Linked DNA regions of Yarrowia lipolytica. The protein of the gene in region 1 interacts with the protein of each later gene in a pairwise test. Links are inferred from orthologs where the notes say so. Each region holds a gene or a part of one and is shown in the gene's direction. Other genes may lie near its edges.

The links.
Region 2: the proteins of YALI1_B22793g (region 1) and YALI1_E13727g interact in a protein complementation assay, tested with the Saccharomyces cerevisiae proteins (2 studies listed by BioGRID). The link is inferred for Yarrowia lipolytica from reciprocal best matches to the Saccharomyces cerevisiae genes SAC6 and ARC15.

The regions. Positions count from the first base shown.
Region 1 is NC_090771.1:2,276,882-2,281,685, reverse strand, and holds YALI1_B22793g (uncharacterized protein), read left to right. Parts: upstream 1-2,140; coding exon 2,141-2,161; intron 2,162-2,208; coding exon 2,209-2,264; intron 2,265-2,324; coding exon 2,325-4,119; downstream 4,120-4,804. Other genes in the region: YALI1_B22820g (uncharacterized protein), read left to right, coding at 1-646. UniProt on the Saccharomyces cerevisiae protein: Binds to actin, and functionally associates with actin structures involved in the development and maintenance of cell polarity.
Region 2 is NC_090774.1:1,370,726-1,373,833, forward strand, and holds YALI1_E13727g (uncharacterized protein), read left to right. Parts: upstream 1-2,004; coding exon 2,005-2,223; intron 2,224-2,359; coding exon 2,360-2,608; downstream 2,609-3,108. Other genes in the region: YALI1_E13708g (uncharacterized protein), read right to left, coding at 1-98; YALI1_E13718g (uncharacterized protein), read right to left, coding at 459-1,067. UniProt on the Saccharomyces cerevisiae protein: Functions as a component of the Arp2/3 complex which is involved in regulation of actin polymerization and together with an activating nucleation-promoting factor (NPF) mediates the formation of branched actin networks.

The DNA.
Region 1 (4,804 bases):
AATCGAGAATCCCAGTTGCATGATCCAGGCTGTGGGAGTCAAGTCCGACGACGGTATGGGCTCTGCGTACCAATCCAACGTGTTTGGACCATGGTACATGGTGCTGGAGCTCACCGAGCAGCTCAAGAACGGCGGAAAGGTCATCTGGATCAGTTCCATCACGTCTTCTGAAAAGTACGTGGATCTGGAAGACATTGAGCTGATTCACAACAAGGAGCCATACAAGGGCTCGAAGCGTCTTATTGACGTGGCCCACAACTACTACTCGCCGAAACTGGAAGAGGAGCATGGTATCTACTCGTACCTGACCGACCCCGGTATCTTCACCTCCTCCTCGGCCTCCGAGTACCTCAACATCTTCTCTGCCTTCGGCATGTATCTCATGTTCTACTTTGCCCGGCTCATTGGACTGACCACCATGAACATTGACCCTTATAAGGGAGCCAACGTGCCTGTGTGGGTGACCTTGAGCGAGGACCCTTCAGCTCTTAAGCGAGAGTATCGTTTGGGCTCGAGAACAGGAAGATGGGGTACGGAGATGATGGACGCTACAAAGCTGCAATATGAGGGAAGCGAAGAAGTCGGAGCATACATTGATAAGGGTGTGGGAGAGTGGAGAGAGAAGTTGAAGGATCAGATTAACTAAGCCAATTGAATGGAGTAAAAGTTGATGAGGCAGTGGAGCTAGCTTAATAGACTGCTGGTTGGAGACTGTCAGCTGCCTTAATCTGAGCATGACTTGCTTCGAGACAGTGAAGGTGTCGAAGCTTGAGAGAGTATCCCAGTGTAGCCATCGCTTACATTTCAGTCTATACAAAACTTGGTAACACCGAAATTAACACATTGGACAATGGACAATGATGACAACTGTCATACAAGTGGAAGCTACGCGTGATTAGGTATTTCCACAGTGAATTGTTTTTAGAGGTCATGACTACTCTGCAAGTATCATACTGTCCTTTACTTCAAGTAGAACAAGGTGGCTACAGTCCTTTAACTCAGCAATTGGCCACTGTACATACTTAACAGGTGGCCATCTATGACTACAGTACGACAGCCATACCAGTCTCGTCATCTGCGGACTTGCCAGTGTCAGTGAAACTTGTGTATTGACATATCGTTGCGCACCATACAGTAATTGAACATATATGTGTATCTTGTCAGTATACAACCAGTCAGGCCCATCTCTCATTCGCACCTACACATCTGTAAACCACACTCACGTGACCATCTTACCTCAATCAATATATTTTGCCAAACCCACCCTCCACCTGATGACCCTGCCATCAGTGTTGCACTATAGTACATATAAGCGATCTTTCTTGTGGCTGCTCGTATAACCTCATTTATATACGTCATGTCGCATTCGCGTCAGACGTTCTATTGTGCCCATTGACAATTGCCTAGGAAAATAAGACATACTGAAGGCAATCTCGATACTCTATCTGCATACTCGATCGACTTTGGTTTCAATACTACCTACTTTTGAGCGCCCCACCGCCTTGCCACTCCGGCTAAATGGCGGATACAAGTAACTCCATCCGGATATAAGGTTTTGGCGATATATAGGAAAATCTCCTTCGAAAAACAATATTTCGCTGTTTCAAACCAGCTGAGATTTTGTTCACTGCCTCCCACTGATACAATTCTCTGCTATCTCTGTCTTAATCGTCTAGCTCTTAATCTGAGGGGTATTACCTTTAACAAAAGTTGCCCCGCTCAATCTTCTGACCCTAAAAGCCAGAATGTTGCGAATCAAAATCAAAATCAAAATTATGAGAGGGGCCACTAAGAAAATGATTTGTCGTGTACTTGTAGAGACTCGGTTGTCACGTCACCAGTATGAATAGGTCACATGACACGCTTACTCCACAGCAGATTTCTAAAAATAAATCCGCCACCGCAACTGGTGCACAGCCCTCTACACTGCCTCCGCCCCATATGACCACCTACATTGTTCTATTCCCTGGCCGGGTAACCCCCAACCAGCCCCCAAATTAGCCTTTGCCACTTCACTAGAGTTGATGCAGTTGCATATGCCCACTGTGGTATCTCCGAAACCAGAGACGTTCTTATACTACAGTTTAATACCTGGTACATCGGTACGAGTTATTGTGCGCAAAAAGAACATCTTTGCAACATGAACGCCATCAAGTTACAGGTGAGTACACGACGGATCCTATACCCATTGACCTCCTACTAACCCAGAAAAAATTCCCAGTTCTCACCCAGGAGGACATTTTTGGTCTTTGCGACTCTTTCCAGTGAGTATAAAGCCGCAACATGCGAAATATCAATGATGGATGGAAAAGTGACTAACACAGGCAACTGGATGTCGATGAGAAGGGATACATTGACAAGAATGAGGTGATCAAGGCTGTGGCCGCCTCTGGACGAGCCACCTACGACGAAATCCGAGAAGCTGTTCGAGAGAACATCGTGGACTCGTCGGGTCGAGTGGAGATGGATGACTACGTGGAGCTGCTGGCCAAGATTAAGGAAGGTAAGGGATCCAATCCTAGTGTGCGACAGGCCCCTGCTTCGCCTGGACGAGCCAACACCAGCCGAATTGTGGTTGGAGGAACTGCCTCTGGTACCCAACACACCATCAACCAGGAGGAGCGAGAAGAGTTCACCCGTCACATCAACTCGGTGTTGAGTGGTGACGCAGACATTGGCGACCGACTACCCTTTCCCACAGACACATTCCAGGTGTTTGATGAGTGTCGAGACGGTCTTGTGCTGTCCAAGCTGATCAACGACTCTGTACCCGACACCATCGATACTCGAGTTCTCAACTTCCCCCGAAAGAAAGCCCTCAACAAGTTCACCATGACTGAGAACGCCAACATTGTCATCAACTCCGCCAAGGCCATTGGTTGTGTGGTTGTCAACGTGCGAGCTGAGGACATCATCGACGGTAAGGAGCATCTGATTCTAGGTCTCATCTGGCAGATTATCCGACGAGGTCTGCTGTCCAAGATCGATATCAAGCACCATCCCGAGCTTTACCGACTGCTGGAGGACGACGAGACTCTCGAGCAGTTCCTGCGTCTTCCCCCGGAGCAGATCCTGCTGCGATGGTTCAACTACCACCTCAAGGCTGCTGGCTGGAACCGACGGGTCAACAACTTCTCCAAGGACGTTTGTGACGGTGAGAACTACACAATTCTCATGAACCAGTTGAAACCCGAAGAGTGCTCTCGAGCTCCTCTTCAGACCCAGGATCTGCTCCAGCGAGCCGAGGAGATTCTCACCAACGCCGACAAGATTGGGTGCAGAAAGTACCTGTCTCCCTCCGCACTGGTTTCTGGAAACCCCAAGCTTAACCTGGCCTTTGTTGCCCATCTGTTCAACACCTGGCCCGGTCTGGACCCCCTGGAGGAGAACGAGAAGGTGGATATCGAAGACTTTGACGCCGAGGGCGAGCGAGAGGCTCGAGTCTTCACCTTGTGGCTTAATTCACTCGATGTGGATCCCCCCGTCGTCTCGCTGTTCGAGGACCTCAAGGACGGAAACGTGCTGCTGCAGGCGTACGACAAGGTTATTCCCGGATCTGTCAACTGGAAGTTTGTTAACAAGCGTCCTGCTAACGGAAATGAGCTCATGACCTTCAAGGCCGTGGAGAACACCAACTACGCCGTGGAGATTGGAAAAGCCAACAAGTTCTCACTGGTTGGAATCGAAGGAAACGACATTACGGAGGGCCAGAAGACTCTGACCCTGGGTCTGGTGTGGCAGCTGATGCGACGAAACATTGTGCTGACTCTGGCAAGTTTGTCGCAGGGCGGAAAGGAAGTGTCCGATTCGGACATGCTCAAGTGGGCCCAGGGCCAGGTCCAGAAGGGTGGCAAGAGCTCTACCGTGCGATCCTTTAAGGACTCGTCGTTGGCCAATGGTCACTTCCTGCTGGACGTGCTCAATGGTCTCAAGCCTGGTTACGTTGACTACGACCTCGTTACGCCCGGTGACACTCCTGAGGATCAGTACCTCAACGCCAAGCTGGCAATCTCTATCGCCCGAAAGTTGGGCGCACTGATCTGGCTGGTTCCCGAGGATATCGTCGAGGTCCGATCTCGACTGATCCTGACCTTTATCGGATCTCTCATGTCCATCTGAGCGTTTTTAGAGGACTTGTGAGCTGTTTTGGGTCACCTATATGGGCGAGAAAGCTGTCTACTTGTAGCCTTATTCCGCTCCCTGTAACGATATTCAAGAGTGTATGTAATGAATTGTACCATTTCCATGACATTGTAATCGTCGTGCTTGTACGTACGAACTTGTGCAACTAATCACGAGTAAGTACAAGTAAAAAGGTATTACTTGTACAAGTACTTGTAGTTCTTGTGGTCGCTACTACAAGTAGTGGTCATATCGGTCTTGATGTAAGAATCAAGTGATTAATCAGCCGATCGTATTGTGTCGATTTTTTGAGATTTTTGATCGCACGTAATTGCAAATTGCAACTACAAGAATGGTCATCGCCAGCACAGAAATAATTACACCGTACCCACACGTAACATGTTAGAGCAATTTGACAGAGAGTGGGGGTTAAAATACTCATTTTAATTACAGCATGACAATGGAATTCTTTGTTTCTAGGTTTTAAAGTTTATTTAATCACGTGATTTGTATGTCACTATTTTTTAATTTACATAAGGTTCAAACTAAAATCCGCAATAGTTTAGTGGCTAGAATTTCCGCCTGTCAGAACCTCTGTTCAGCACGCGGGGGACCGGAGTTCAATTCTCCGTTGCGGAGGTTTGGTTACGGCCATATCCTGGTGAAAATACGGCTTCCCGTC
Region 2 (3,108 bases), on another chromosome or scaffold:
AGCGCCAGCTGCTGTTGTTTTTCCGCCTTGAGAAGCTGTGCCTGGGCCTGCTCGGCGCTCTTGTGTGTGTGTTCGGCGGCTTTTGTCGGCTCCGTCATTGTGTGGTGTCTGTAGAATGTAGGTGTGTTTTTTTTTTGTGAGTGGTTGGTTCCGATTCTGCCCGAAAAATTCACGTGTTCCTAGGTCACGTGGGCTCTATGCGTGTAAAGCGGGGGATGTGGTATTCGCCTTGTTCGCCTCGGTCTCGTGCCTCTTGCTTCCTGGTCGCTGGTAGCGTTGCTTCTTGAGGCCTGGTGGAGTATTAGTGTAGGTGGTGATGCAAAGAAAATTCAAAAAAAGAAGTCAAATGCAAACCATGTTATGTAAGTGGTTGGTGGGGTGAAAGGGGCCCAAAGGGGAGCAAATATACAATTAAAAACATGAAAATCATATCTTGACCCTGTATCCCTTCGAATAGATCACGTGACATGTCGCCAAACCGTCCCTATCATCGCGTTGTATGGAACATCAACTCCCCCCCTCATCGACAGACACACCCTATACAGAATAGACACTGTATGATTGGGTTGCGAATAGAAGGGACCTTCCAATGAATGACTACCAGTACATCTACGTACGAGTAGACATGGGGCCTGCCAAAGGTGGGTCACATGACCTCGAGTTGCGCGATTGGAGCAATCGATAAATTTGAGAGAAGTCGGCTCTATACCTCCACTCTTGCTACATCCCGCGCACCCCACAGTAGAGTCTGACTGGCATGTTTGCTCGGTACACATGATTTTAACCTCTTCAATATATATACTCGGGCTAGCGTCGGAGTCTAACGTCTGGGGTTTTGAGGTGTGTTTCTGAGTCTGACAAGGCAGCTGGTAAGGATTTTTGTGTTTGCTGGATCGGGTGTTGGTGGTCATAGGGCAGTTATTGTGCTCTATCAGGTCAATTTCACCCTTGGTGGTGCTCTGTTCCCCCTCAGTGGGCAATGTGTTCACGCATCTTGACCCTACATTCACCGCTTTCTCCTGCCACCTTTTTCTCCACATCGAAGTCCACCGCCAAATGCACGTCATGCTTATTTGGTTCGGAATTGATTTCCTTTTTGAGAGGCCTGCAAATGGTCTCGATGGAGTATCTTAGCGAGATGAGACGCCGGCTCAGATAGATACCCGCCGACACTGCGCAATTTCGCTCTTCACAGAGAGAGCTGCCGTTAGCAGTAGTTGTTGGTTGTATCTCACTAGCAAGAACGTGATTGTTGATGCGTAGGCCTCTTTCGAAATAGAGATCGTACAGTAGCTACTTTGTAGCCAACAGACAACAGAGATAGACAGATAGCTTATCTGGCGTGTTGACAGGTCACGTGGCAAAAGGCAGTCCCGGTCACGTGCTCTTATTTCACACGCAGGGTGTATTTTATTGATTTTGATAGCCGTCTGCTGTCATTCCGCAATCACATGATGCGCCAACGCTTTTCTGTAGTCCAGTAATCGCTTGGTCCTGGATGGTGTTCATAAATGCACTATGGTGAGCTTATTTCTGCGGTTGATGACTCGGGCCATCCTGTGTGTCTTGTGGTTGTGTGTTCGAAGCCGAGCGGGGTTCCTTTGTGGTGTATTTGTGGGGTTTGATGGTTTGATTCTAGAGCTTTTGAGGGAGCTCCATGTCAATTGACTTGGAAACGAGTACAGGTGCTCAAATACGACTTTCTCTGGTACACATGCCTTCATTACTCCAATTTTGGACAATATCGGACCTAGAACCTGATTGGGGAAAGATACAAGAGATTTGAATATATCCCAGTGAATCTCATGTCACGAGCTATCCGCTGGTATAATCACATCTGGAATAATGCGTCATCTACCCCCATTTCAAGTCATCGGATATCACCTCTAACTTGCCCTACCATTCATCCTCCCAAACTCTGATAATGCATACAGCACAGCACATCACCAAATCCCACTCACCTGCAAATAACTCACGAGCAGCACACACCACACATCACACACCATGTCGCAGATTGATTTCCGAAGAATTGACGTCGACCAGTACGACCCAGACTCGTTCATCTCCAAGGAGGATCTCACTCCTCCCTGCAAGCCCGTCTCTGCCGCTGAGCAGCAACAGGTGGCCACGGAAATCCGAGGAGCCATTTCTCGAGGAGAGGCCAAGGCTGCCCTTCCCATTGCGCTGGACTTTGCTCCTTACGGTGGTGATGACAAGGTAAAGGTGAGTATGGAGCGGTGGAAACGATTGCTCTTGGCAGCAAGTGAAACCCCCATCAGCTCGTGATCAACCGACATCTGGGGACACAATCAGTTGTCTTTTAAATGTAACAACCGCCAGACCCCACGTACTAACCCAGGACGCCCACCTCAAGTCTGTAATTGAGGTTCTGAGCGCAACCAAATCGGCCGAGATCCCATCCGTGGTCAAGGCTCTCAACAAGGAACAGCAGGATGTGCTCATCAAGTACCTGTACAAGGCCATGGGCTCGCCACAGGGCCAGTCCCAAGGAGTCGGCGCCATCCTACTTGCCTGGTACGAGAAGACCGTGGACATCACCGGACAGGGAGCCGTCGTTCGATACATGTCTGATCGACGAACTGTTTAAGCGAGTTTAAGCGACTACAAGCCCCTCGAACAGCGGATGGATGTGGGTAAATATTATGAGGTTCTCTCGCAATTGTAAACTACAAGCGTTGCAGATCAATCATATAACGGTAGCAGTGCTAATGATGTAAATGAATGTAAACTATCATCTTTGTTTGGACAAAATCAAGTGTAGACTGCAAGTCAGTGTTCTTGTGTAGAGCCTATCGAAGAGCTGCTTCAGTCTATGTCGTCCATTGGCCAGTACCAACGGTGAATAATGTGTGAGTTCACTTGTCATAGACACAGTGGATCTGCCAACTATCAATATTGTTAATGTATGGACCTTCACGTTCCCTCCACGACATGGCATCGTCTAAGATGATGCCCCTTGGGTTGTCATTGTCTTCTTACATATGATCATCCAATTGACTAGTAAAAACTGTAGGTGGGTATGAGATCAACTGTTAGGACCACTTTCCATCTACCACTTGAATGATATCATGATTATTTATGTAATTA